Linked DNA regions of Oryctolagus cuniculus. The main gene of each other region encodes a partner of the protein of the gene in region 2 in a complex. Links are inferred from orthologs where the notes say so. Each region holds a gene or a part of one and is shown on either strand. Other genes may lie near its edges. The genes, in order: DBT and DLD.

Region 1 (6,323 bases), on a different chromosome or scaffold from region 2:
GGAGGGTGAACCAACGGCAAAGGAAGACCTTTCTCTCTGTCTCTCTCTCTCACTGTCCACTCTGCCTGTCAAAAAAATAAAAAAATAAATAAATAAATAAATAAATAAAAAAAATATAATTCAGCAATAACTGATACAAGAGTCAGACATGTGGCACTGCTACCTTTAACGCCATTATCCCATATGAGCACTAGTGTGAGTCCCAGGTGCTCTGGCTTCCAATCCAAGTACCTGCTAATGAGCCTGGGAAAGCAGTGCAAGATAGCCCAAGTGCTTGGACCTTTACCACCTATGTAAGAAACTGGAGGGAGTTCCAGGCTCCTGGTTTTGGCCTGACCCAGCCCTGGCTGTTGTGATCATTTGGGAGAGTAAACCAGCAGATATAAGATATCTCTCCCTCTCCCTGACTCTTCCTCTAATTCTGCCTTTCAAATAAGTAAATCAATCATGGGAAAACAACAACAACAACACAGAGTCCCATCTACAATATCAGATCTGTGACTTTAAGCCTATCATTTCAGGAAAAAAAAAATCTGTGCATGGTGGATAAGGTTGGGAAGGGAATGGCAGAAGCAAAATGAGGCAGGGGAAGCAAGGGTCTACTGAAGGTAAGCAACCAAAGTACGGAGTATATCCTTACATAAAGTACATTCAGATGTGGTTTGGAGCTTATTTTTAGATATTTTTCAAAGCTTACTGAAAAGGATAAGACAAATTTAAGAAACATAAGAAGGTAGTTCATAAAGTTTGTGGAAAATGGACTGAACAGATAAGGCTGTTTTGGTGCCACAATTTTTGAAACTGATGCATGATTTTTGATAATGCACAATTTCCGTGAACTTCTAGAAGATCCCTTGTATGAAATGTAAAATTGATCAGGTTTTGGTAAACAATATGATGTGAGAGAGGAGTCACGCTGACTACAGGTTTCCAGCTTGACTCATTGATTTAAGCAATACAGGAAGAAGAGGAAATTTGTATAAAACTGAGTTTGAGGAGTTTGAGTTATACATGCGATATTGAAATGGAGATACATAGCAACAATTGGTGAGGTCTGAGAGCTACAGATTCAGAACGTTCAATATGTAGTAGGTGAAGGTATATCTGTAAAAGTGACACAAGAAGATGGGAGGGCCAAGGATAGGATCCTACAAAAGACTGAAATTTAGGAGAGAAACAGGGGCCTGGGTTGTGCAACATGTTGGGCCACCACTTGCAACACTGGCATCCCACATCAGACTGCTAGTTCAAGCCCCAGCTACTCTTTTTTTTATCCAGCTTACTGCTAACCTGCCTGGGAAGGTGGCAAAAGATGGCCCAAGTACTTGGGCCCCTGTCAAGTATGTGGGAGACTAGGATGGATTTCTTGGCTCCTGGTTTCAGCCTGGCCGAGATTGGCTGTTGAGATCATTTGGGAAGTGAACCAGACGATATAAGATCCCTCTTCTCTGTCTCTCCTCCCTCTCTGTTGCTCTTTCAAATAAATAAATCTTTTTTTAAAAAAGAGGGAAAAACACACAAGATGAAGAATGATCAAGGCTGGCATTGATGCAATGGGTCAAGCTGTTGCCTGCAATGCCAATTTGAGTTTCAGCTGCTCTACTTCCAATCTAGCTCCTTGCTAAGGCACCTAGGAAAGCAGCAGCAGAACACTTAAGTGCTTGGTTGGGCTCTTGCTACCCATGTGGGAGACCTGAATGGTGTTCCAGGCTCCTGGCTGTGGCCTGGACTATAGTTGGCTGTTGTAGCCATCTGGAGAGTGAACCAATAGATTGAAGATTTTTGCTCTCTCTGTAACTGTGCCTTTCAAATAAATAAATCAATCTTAAAAAAACAGGAATCTTTAAAAAAAAGAAATCAAAACAGTGATCAGTGTTGAGCACTGGAGCCAGGACAACGAGAGAGAGAGAGAGAGAATATGAGTGTCTAGAGGAAGTATGTACTAAATACTTCACATATTTTAATTTATTTAATCCACCCAGGTATAAGGATCTTTGTTTTGATTATTGATATATCCCAGCTACCTCAACTACTGCCTTGGCACATAGCAGGCGATCAATAAGTATCTGTTGTTGAATGAATAAATTCTTATTATACAATGAGCTAAATATTATGAATGCTTCCATTTTGAAAATGATGAAACTGAGAAAACTTAAATAACTTGCTCAGTTACACAGCTAGAAACTGGCAAACCAGGAACCCAAGTAGCCTGGAATTAGTGGATCCAGGAACTCAAAGGTCATGATAAATGATCAGAGGCTGTAGAAGGAAGCTGGAGTTTCTGTTTGAATAGCTTCTAGCCCAACAACAACAACAACAAAATTAACTTTTAAAAAATACAGATATTTTTTAAAAAAAGTGAAAATAAGGTTTACATGCCTTAGGCTGAGGTAAAGGAAGGCAGATAAAAAACATGGAGGGGCCAGCTCTGCGGCATAGCAGGTAAAGCTGCCACCTGCAGTGTTGGCAGCCTATGTGGGCACCAGCTCGAGACCCAGCTGTTCCACTTCTAATCCAGTTATTCAGTTCTCTGCTGTGGCCTGGGAAAGCAGTTGAAGATGGCCCAAGTGCTTGGGCCCCTGCACCCATGTGGGAGACCCAGGAAGAAGCACCTGGCTCCTGGCTTCAGAATGGCCCAATTCCAGTTATTGCAGCCATTTGGGGAGTGAACCAGCGGATGGAAGACCTGTCTCTCTGTCTCTGTCTCTGTCTCTCTCTCTCTCTGTAATTCTGCCTTTCAATAAGTAAATAAATCTTAAAAAAAAAAAAAAAAAAGCATGGAGGGGCTGGCACTGTGGCAAAGCAGATAAAGCCACCACCTGCAGTGCCGGCATCCCATATGGGCACCGATTTAAGACCTGGCTGCTCCACTTCTGATCCAGCTCTCTGCTATGGCCTGGGAAAGCAGTACAAGATGGCCCAAGTCCTTGGGCCTCTGAACCCATGTGGGAGACCTGGAAGAAGCTCCTGGCTCCTGGCTTCAGATTGGCACAGCTCTGGCTGTTGCAGCCAATTTGGAGGTGAACCAGCAGATGGAAGACCTCTCTTTCTCTCTGCCTCTTCTTCTCTCTCTGTGTAACTCTGACTTTCAAAAAAATAAATAAATCTTAAAAAAAAAAAAAAAGCATGGAGAAATTGAACTCAAGGGTGATATCTGCACGGAATTCCCTATTTTTCCCTGTGAGCACAGAGTAAGGCCCTATTATCTGTCCAAAGCTTAGCCATATAACAGAAGTCTAGGGTCCTTTATCAGGGTTTTAAACAGAACATCAGAAAAAAATGTTCTTATGCCCTTGCCAAATCAATCTTCAAGTTCTTTATAGAGAGTAGAAAAAGTTGGGCAAAAGGTAAGTAAAGCATAATAGCAGGAAACTTTCTGTTCAGGAGTGTTTAAGACTGGTTTCATCAGACCATGTTAAAATCACAGATTAAGTGCTTCATTCACCAAACAATACCATGGTGTGTACAATGACACAAAGACACTTCTATTAAGTCTATGATTTATGTTGACTGAGAAGGTCATATCAATGCTAACTATTGCATTTAGATGAGTCAGATGATAAAGAATAGATGGCCCAACACAACCCAATTCTAACATTATGAAGACACAAGTATTAAGAAAAGTATGTGAAAGGTGACAGGGGAAGGAGAAGTTAGGGGCTGGGAGTGTAGGAGTGGAGGCAAGAAAAAAGAAAATGGGTAATGGATAGACATGGAGAGAGTCAGGGCAGAAGTACGTGGGGTTCAGGGCCAGCATTTTTTACTTTGATGAATCTTTGATTACTAAGTACTGAATAAGATATAACACATTACTTTATATATGTTATCTTGAGATCATACTTACCAGCGGTCGTTTTCAGCAAGTGATGTGGATGACTGTAGTTGAATGAAGGATAACCGAAGAAATACACACATTTTGGCTTCAAAACATGAACAATACCACGTGTTTGAAAAGAGCGAACACAAATCTACAGGTGAGAAAACAAAATGTAAAAGTATTTATAAATGAACTTATGGATTATTTAAGTATGTATTGAATTTCAATTCCATTATTTAGTAAGACAATTGCTAACACAATATAAATATGAAATTACCTAAGCCAAAACCAGAATACTTCGTAGCAATGACAATTTATGAAGTATATGACAGTTTCTGAAGTATGGTATCTATATTTCTAAGAAGTCAAAGAAATTCAAACCCTAGCCTACACAGAACATTTTGTTATTCTTTTGTTTGTAATACTGTAACTTCAGAGTCAAATTTGTTCATATGTTTGTGATCCTTGACCAAAATTCCTTATGAAAGTGTTTTTAACAATATGTTCTGTATAAACAAACACACCAGCCCATATCTTAAGCAATTAGACTTCCTGAAATACAACTAAAAAACTCTGAAGTAACTGTTAGCAAGTGAAGATACTAGAAAACATGTATAATTTCTACTCAGATTTTTTGTATCATACTTTATAGTAGACTCTTTAGATTTAACTATTTTATATGATACTTTAGCATAATGTAATGCTATAGAAATGAGTGGTCCTGAATGTATTCAAGTCTATATTAAAATCTAACTACTTAAAAACTACAGTATCATATCTTGAAAGTTAAAATTCACTGTTGCTAATATTAATACCTGATTAGCTAAATCATACTTTTAACAAAAACTATAGAAATTCCTAACCTTCTGGTATGTATTTGAAATTCTTTCATTTATTCAGGAGACAGTCACTTTTACTTTACCAAAAAGGGTATCAGGGGCTGGTGTTGAGACGTAGGGTAAAGCTGCTGCCTGCAACGCCAGCATCCCACATGGGTGCCAGTTCATGTCCTGGCTGCTGCACTTCTGATCCAGCTCCCTGCTAACGGCTTGGGAAAACAGCAGAAGATGGCCACCCACCACCCACAAGGGAGACTGATGAAGCTCCTGGCTTGGCCTGGCTCAATACTGGCCATTGCAGCCACTTGAGGAGTGAACCAGCAGACGGAAGACTTTGCTCTGTCTCTCCCTCTCTCTTCTGTAACTCTTTCAAATAAATAAATAAATCTTTAAAAAAAAAACAAAAACAAGAATTACCCAAACACACAAATAAGTTTATCAGTACATTAGTGGCAATTAGTCCTTAAATTCTAAAGTTATACTACATTATAATATACATTATATATTCTAGTTACATTTAATACATATTCATAAATATGAATTTTTATGATGGTAAATAATATAAAACAAAAAATTTGGTTAATGTATAGGAACAATACATTTAAACAACTGATTTCTCACTGAATTTCTAAATTGTTATACTTTAAAAAAAAGGCTTGTAGCTTTTAAATAAATTATTTATTTTTTTTTTTTTTGACAGGCAGAGTAGATAGAGAGAGAGAGAGACAGAGAGAAAGGTCTTCCTTTTTCCATTGGTTCACCCCCCAATGGCTGCTGCGGCTGGCGCACCGTGTTGATCCGATGGCAGGAACCAGGTGCTTCTCCTGGTCTCCAGTGCGGGTACAGGGCCCAAGCACTTGGGCCATCCTCCACTGCACTCCCAGGCCATAGCAGAGAGCTGGACTGGAAGAGGGGCAACCGGGACAGAATCCGGCGCCCCGACCGGGACTAGAACCCCGTGTGCCGGTGCCGCAAGGCAGAGGATTAGCCTATTGAGCCACGGCGCCGGCCCTTTTAAATAAATTTTTAAAATTACTTATCTTTCAGTTTTTATTTGAAAGGAAGAGACACACATAGAAAGAGAAGGGTGGAGAGTGAGAGAGGTAAAGAGTGACAGAGAGACAGAGAGTTAACAAGCAAGCTCTTCCATCTGCTAGTTCACTCTCAAATGCCTGCAACAGCCAGGGCTGAGCCAGGCTGAAGCCAGGAGCCTGGAGTTCAATCTGGGTCTCCCATGTGGGTGGCAGGGACCCAAGTATTTAAGCCATCATTTGTTGCCCCCTAGGGTACACATTAGCAAGAAGCTGGATCAGAAGCGGAGTAGCTAAGACTCAAGCCAGGCATTCCAAAATGGGTTGCATGCACCCCTAGTGGCACCTTAACTACTGCACCAAATGTCTACCTCATATCACTGATTTCTGAAGGCAAAATAAACTGAAGATACTTTTCCTAAAACATAAATACTTTTAAATCATGCATTTTAGCTTTACTTTAAAAAGATCATTCTAAATCAAATAATCTTTAGGATACCTATATTTTTTTCTCATTAACATTCAGGAAACATCAAGCCTAACAAAAATTACAGTTGATAGCTTAAAACTTAGGAGACAGTGAAAGACTTTTATTCCAAATACCCCCACTCTGTCTGTCCTTCCTTTCTCCTTCAA
Region 2 (6,323 bases):
TGAGGTGGAAAGTGCTAGAAGAGAAACAGGTTTGGTTCTGCTTGTGAGGCACTGGGGTGGGTGGGATGGACAGATTAAGATGCACATCTACTGGAGAGAGTGCCTGTGAGACACACAAGCAGGGATGCCAGTACACACACAGATACAAAACCAGAGCAAGGCGAGAGGACGAAGCTGCAGGTATCTCCCAGTCCTTGTGTAACTGGGATGGGGGTGAAGAGAATATTATGTGGAAAGACAAAAAGGGTCGAGGATGGAAACCTGAGAGGAGCCTAGAGTAATGATTAAAGGGAAGGCTGAGAAAGGAGAACCTGCAAAGAAGATGGAGTCAGTCCTCAGGGCGGATGTAAAATCAGCACAACGTGCCATCAGAGAAGCTAGGAAATTTCGAAGACAAGAAAATCAACAATGATGATGACAGGTACCAAAGAAAGCAGTGAAGACTGAACAGTAAATCCATTCATGTCCTTATCAGGAGCAATTTATTGGCACAAGCAGCCATGGACCAAGGAGTAAGAGTTGATGAAACAGAGCATGGACAACTCTTGAAAGAAGCTTGGTGATAAAGAGAAGGTGACAGGGAATTAGTAACTGAATAAGGACACGGGGTCATGAGAAGGCTTTTTATATGTACATAAGTCTGCATCTGTACCTGCATACCTGTGTGTAACATGTGAGTGCACACACAGCCACACTCAACTGTAAGTGAAAGAGAAGCACAAGGAGAAACAAGTCTGAACACTGAAAAATCAAGTCCACGAGAAGGCAGAAGATGATGCACTTCCAAGCCCGGGTGAAGGGACTAATCTCAATGAGAAAAAGCATTTCCATAGTAACAGGAGGGAAGAGCAAAAGAACAGCTGTGAGGTCAGGCAAAAGCATGGTCGAATATGGAGCATCAGGCTGAAGGGGTCCTCGCTTCCTCTCTCACGCCATCTTGAAGAGACACGGTAACCTGTGGGCAGGGAAAGATGGTGTACCTGCGGGTCTGCCAAGAGTGGGAAATGAAATAGCACTGCAGAGGCCAGGACAGAGTGCCAGCTACGCAAATAACAGATTGTCGGCAACGCTGGTGAGGTTCCTGCGCAGGCCTGTGACCAACAACTGCACAGGCACCTGTCTGCAGGGCATGTATCTTCCAGATGCAGTCAGCAGACTGGGAACAGCATAAAAAAAAAGAGACGCGTTCAACAAGGACAAGAGCTCTGCCATGGAGATACGACCAAACTGTGAGGCAAGTGACTCAAGACTGACACAGAGTGGCTGAAATGACAACTGGGCAATCAAAACTGGCCAGGAAAGCAGTCATGGAAGGAAAGGACTGAGTTAGAAAAAAAACCATAGGTGGACCTATGGAGAGAAAACCTAGCAAAGTTGAGTATAAAACTACACCAGAAACAACTGAGTAAGAGGACAGCAAGTTGTGGTTAGAGAACAAAATGCCTGAGTTTTATGATTTCAGAAGTAGAGCAATTCCTGATGATTACCAGACACAACAGCCCTGGGGACGGCCACCTAAAATGGAGGGGAAAGGACACTGGAGATATGTGGAAAGTTGCCAGGTGGACAGAGCAGGCAGAAGGTATCAAATAGCATGGGGTGCAAAGAACTGCAAGTAGTTTGACATTGCAAAAACATAAATTAAGAGGGACCAACATGAGGATGGAAAAGCAGGAATGACCAGATCACATATGTCATAGTAAGGAGTCTGATCTTTACCTGGAATACAGTTGGCTCAGAATGAGAGCTGCCTTCAATACCTGAAGGGCTGTGGGAGATTCAGAAAGAACGAGACTAGTTTTAGGGAACAGGTGGGTGGAAGGTATGGGGAAGCAGATTGGAAAAAAACAAAAAAACAAAAGGAGATTGTTCTAATGGTTAATGGTTACACACATTTAGTACATAGGTTATCCTGAAAAAAAAAATGTGAATTCTTCATTATTTTTAAACAAAACTCAACATCAATGGTTTATAATGTTAAACCAAGAAGGGATCACTTACCAATTCTACTCCTATTACTCCTGCACCAATAACAACCATCTTTTCTGGAACTTTTTTTAAAGATAAAGCACCTGTAGATGATACTATTGTATCTTCATCAATCTATAATAAAAACACAAGAAAAATGATTAAAGTTATTTGGAAAAAACCTAGTGATTTATAAACTATGATGTCACTGTAAAATCACTGAAACTGCTTCACTGTTGATTTTGAGGTTTCTATACTTGCCAGCTCAATTTCATCAAATCCCACTTAAAAATGCTGAATTTTATCATTTGGAATTTCAAAACAAAATTGTAACTCTTAATTTTTTCATACTGATTTCAGCTCAGTGACTGTCAAGATGTAGTATTTCACTCAGAAGTCTATTTTTTAAAAAGATTTTATTTATTTATTTGAGAAGCAGAGTTACAAACAGAGAGAGGGAGAGACAAAGTGAAAGATCTTCCATCTGCTGTTCACTCCCCAGATGGCTGCAACAGCCAGAGCTGAGCCGATCAGAAGGCAGGAGCTGGGAGTTTCCTCTCGATACTACACATGGGTGCAGGGGCCCAAGGCTTTGGGCCATCTTCTTCTGCTTTCCCAGGCCATTAACAGAGAGCTGGATCAGAAGAGGAGCAGCCGGGACACAAACCCAGTGCCCATATGGGATGCAGGTGTCTCAGGGAAGCTTAGCTTACTATGCCACAGAGTGCTAGGCATTGCCTAAAACCTCCATTACAATATGGCGCATGGTGAATGTTCGAGGGGCGTGTCTGCGGCTGCTGCAGTTAAGCTACGTAAGATCAGACCACTGGCAGGGATAGGTCTGCTTTAGTTCCGGACATGTGGACAGTGCGTGATCCCTATACTTTACTTAAGGTGCCCCTGTGCAGGGTCCACCCGTGCCTGTGTGACCTTTTCTCTGATTGGCTCCCCTACTGCGCATGTCCTTCGTAAGCTTTATAAGCCTGTACACTTCCTCAATAAAGCGGTTCCTGCTTCGACAGAACTCACAGGTGGTGTGGTGTGTTCATCACCAGCCGTCGACCTTACCCTTCCCGTTTGCCTTGTTGGGGAGTGTCTGTACTGGCCCCTGCTGGTCAGGGGCCAGCCTCAGACTTGAGACTCCAGCAACAGAGCTGGCCCCAGAGATCTATCATTTAAAATTCACAAACAGCATAAGCTAAATTTATAAAACACACATCCAGAAGAACATTGTAACGGCTATTACTGGTAAAGTGTAAGTACCGTGATTCCAGGAAAAGGAGTAACTTCTGATCCCGTAGCTACAAGAATATTCTTTGTGTCGATGACCTGCGTGCTGCCATCAGCTTTTGTAGCAGTGACCTGATTTTTGCCAGTAATCTTTCCATATCCATTGACATGAACAACCTTCATAAAAGAATAAAATTCACAAAGGTTAAAATAAATTTTTGATAAATATGATTAGTAAGATTAAAAGCCCTCTGTAAATAATTTATCTAATACAAAATGCTGCCTTTGGCAAAATATGACAAACCCAAAGTCTGCTTCATATTGAATGGAGAAAAGTTATAAGCATTTCCACTGGGACCTAGAATCTGACAAGGATGTCTACTTTCACCATTACTATTCAATATAGTTTAGCTAGAGCCATTAGAAAAGAAAAAGTAATCAAACGGTAAGGAGGAAGTCAAATTATTCCTGTTTGCAACTAACATGATCCTATACAGAGGGGAACCAAGACTCCACTGATTGACTACCGGAACTCTTAAGAGAGCTTGGTAAAGTTGCAGGATATAAAATCAACACACAAAAATCAATAGCTTTTGTGTACATAAACAATGCCATGGCTGAGAAAGAACTTGTAAGATCAGTACCATTCACAACAGCATTCAAAGAATTCAAATACCTTGGAATAAATTTAACCAAGCATGTGAAAGATCTCTATAATGAAAATGACAAAACATTAAAGAAACAGAAGACAACATATACAAATGGAAAAATCTTCCTTGTTTCTGGATTGGAAGAATAGCATCAAAATGTCCACACTACCCAAAGCAATTTATAAATTCAATGCAATCCCAATCAAATTACCAATGACATTCTTCGCAAATCTACAGAAAAGAATGCTAGAGACCCTGAACAGGTAAAGCAATCTTAAACAACAAACACAAAGTCGGAAGTATCACAATACAAGATTTCAAGATATATTACAGGGCAGTTACAATCAAAACACTCTGGTACTGGCACAATAGACACTGGAACAGAATAGAAACCCACACAGCTACAATCAACTAATCTTTGACAAATGAGCTAAAATCAGTACCTGGAGTAAGGACAGTCTCTTCAACAAATGATGATGGGAAAATCTGATCTATGAGTGTTGAAGTATGAAACAAGACCCCTATTCCTTACATCTTATACAAAACTCAACACACAGTGAATCAAGGATCTAAATTTATGACTAGATACTGTTAAATCACTAGAGGAAAACCTTGGGGAAACTGTGCAAGACATTGGCATAGGGAAAGACTTCTCGGAAGAGACCCAGAAGCACAGACAATACAAACAAAAACAGACAAATGATATCACATCAAGCAAAGAAGCTTCTGCACAGCAGAGGAATCAACAAAGTGAAGAGGCAACTGACAGAATGTGAGAAAATATTTACAAACTATACACCTGATAAAGAATGAATATCCAGAATACATAGGGAGCTCCAGAAACTCCTGAACAACAAAACAAACAATCCAGTTAAGAAATGGACAAAGGACACAAACAGGCATTTTTCAAAGAATGAAATCCAAATGCCCAACAGACACATGACAAAATGCTCAGGATCACTAGCCATCAGGGAAATGCAAATAAAAACCACAATGAGGTTTCACCTCACCCCTGTTAGAATGGCTATCACTCAAAAATCAAAAAATAATAAATGCTGGTAAGAATGTAGAGGAAAAGGTACCCTAATACACTGTTGGTGGGAATATAAACTTGAACAACCATTATGAAAGACAGCAATGGAGATGACTCAGAACTCTAAAAACAGATCTACCATATGACCCAGCAATCCCACTCCTGAGAATTTGCCCAAATGACATTAATCACCATATGAGCTATTTGTATCCCATGTTAACTGCAACTCAATTCACAAAAGCTGAGATATACAATCAGCCCAGATGTACATCAACACTGATGAGTATATGAAGAAAAAATATATACACTATGGAATACTGCTCAGCCATAAAAACAATGAAATCCTGTCTTTCACAGCAAAATGGATGCAACTGGAAACCATTATGCTTAGTGAAATTAGTCATTCCCCAAGAGACAAATATGATTTATAGTCTCTGATATGTGGAGGTTAAGAGCATACAAAAAAATTTATAGGCATGAAACAGAAATCTTGTGATCTGATTGTCATTTTTCACCCTTGTTTATACTCCTGTGGTCTTTTTAATCTATGTGCTGAATATTACGGTTAGTGGTGCATTAAGTCTGTGATTATAGAGTGGATCAAAAACATGTTTTTGCAAAAATTAAAGAAAAAAAAAGGAAGCAAAGAATGAGGGGGATTCAGGGAGGCAGAAAAGGAGGAAGGGAAGTACAGTTATCTTAAAATTGTACCTATGAAATACCTGAAATCTGTTCTCTTTATATTAAGACCTGTTACTGTGTCAGGTTAAGCATCACATCAGTTTTTTTTCTGTTTTTTTTTTTTTTTTTTTAAGAGTTATATATTTATTTGATAAACTTACAGAGAGAGAGAGAGAGAGAGAGAGAGACAGAGAGAGACAGAGAGAGACAGAGAGGTCTTCCATCTATTCATTCACTCCCAAAGTGGGCAGCAGAAGCCTGGAGTTTCTTGCGGTCTCCCACATGGTTGGCAGGGGCCCAAACACTTGAGCCATCTACTATTGCTTTTCCCAGGCCATTAACAGGGAGATGGATCGACAGTGAAGCAGCCAGTGAGCACCTGTATGGGAAGCTGGCAGCTTTACTTGCTAAGCCACACCGCCAACCCCAGTAGTCAAGTGCAAACTAGAACACTCTATCAGCAGTAAACAAATGAGAATGTTTCAAATACGTACAAATTAGACAGAAATCTGAATATTCAACACCAACCTTATTCTGTTTGAATAAATGGGCAATTCCACCTGTTAAAGCTTTTACTGCAGTACTCTTCTGCTCCATCATCTTCTCTAAATTCAAGCGAACTTCAGACACTGTAAGTTGTTAAGTAAATGTGTAATCATTATCTAAATTCTTGAATTGCGGTATTTTTTTTTTTACTAAACCAAGTCTACAAAGCTTCAGCCTACTGTTTACAAGGCTTTATAAAAGGCATTAACATTTTA

What was found.
Region 1: the proteins of DLD (region 2) and DBT are in contact, whole or in part, in a crystal structure (PDB 3RNM), measured with the Homo sapiens proteins. The link is inferred for Oryctolagus cuniculus from reciprocal best matches to the Homo sapiens genes DLD and DBT. Residues at the interface, in NP_000099.2 of Homo sapiens: Ser446, Thr447, Asp448, Arg449, Glu472, Tyr473, Gly474, Ser476, Glu478, Asp479, Arg482; in NP_001909.4 of Homo sapiens: Thr174, Pro175, Ala176, Lys196, Arg199, Leu201, Lys202, Glu203, Leu206.

What each region holds. Positions count from the first base shown.
Region 1 is NC_091438.1:70,077,211-70,083,533, reverse strand, and holds part of DBT (lipoamide acyltransferase component of branched-chain alpha-keto acid dehydrogenase complex, mitochondrial), read right to left. Parts: intron 3,969-6,323; coding exon 3,845-3,968; intron 1-3,844. UniProt on the Homo sapiens protein: The branched-chain alpha-keto dehydrogenase complex catalyzes the overall conversion of alpha-keto acids to acyl-CoA and CO(2).
Region 2 is NC_091434.1:136,263,928-136,270,250, forward strand, and holds part of DLD (dihydrolipoyl dehydrogenase, mitochondrial), read right to left. Parts: intron 6,192-6,323; coding exon 6,091-6,191; intron 3,376-6,090; coding exon 3,232-3,375; intron 2,104-3,231; coding exon 2,002-2,103; intron 1-2,001. UniProt on the Homo sapiens protein: Lipoamide dehydrogenase is a component of the glycine cleavage system as well as an E3 component of three alpha-ketoacid dehydrogenase complexes (pyruvate-, alpha-ketoglutarate-, and branched-chain amino acid-dehydrogenase complex).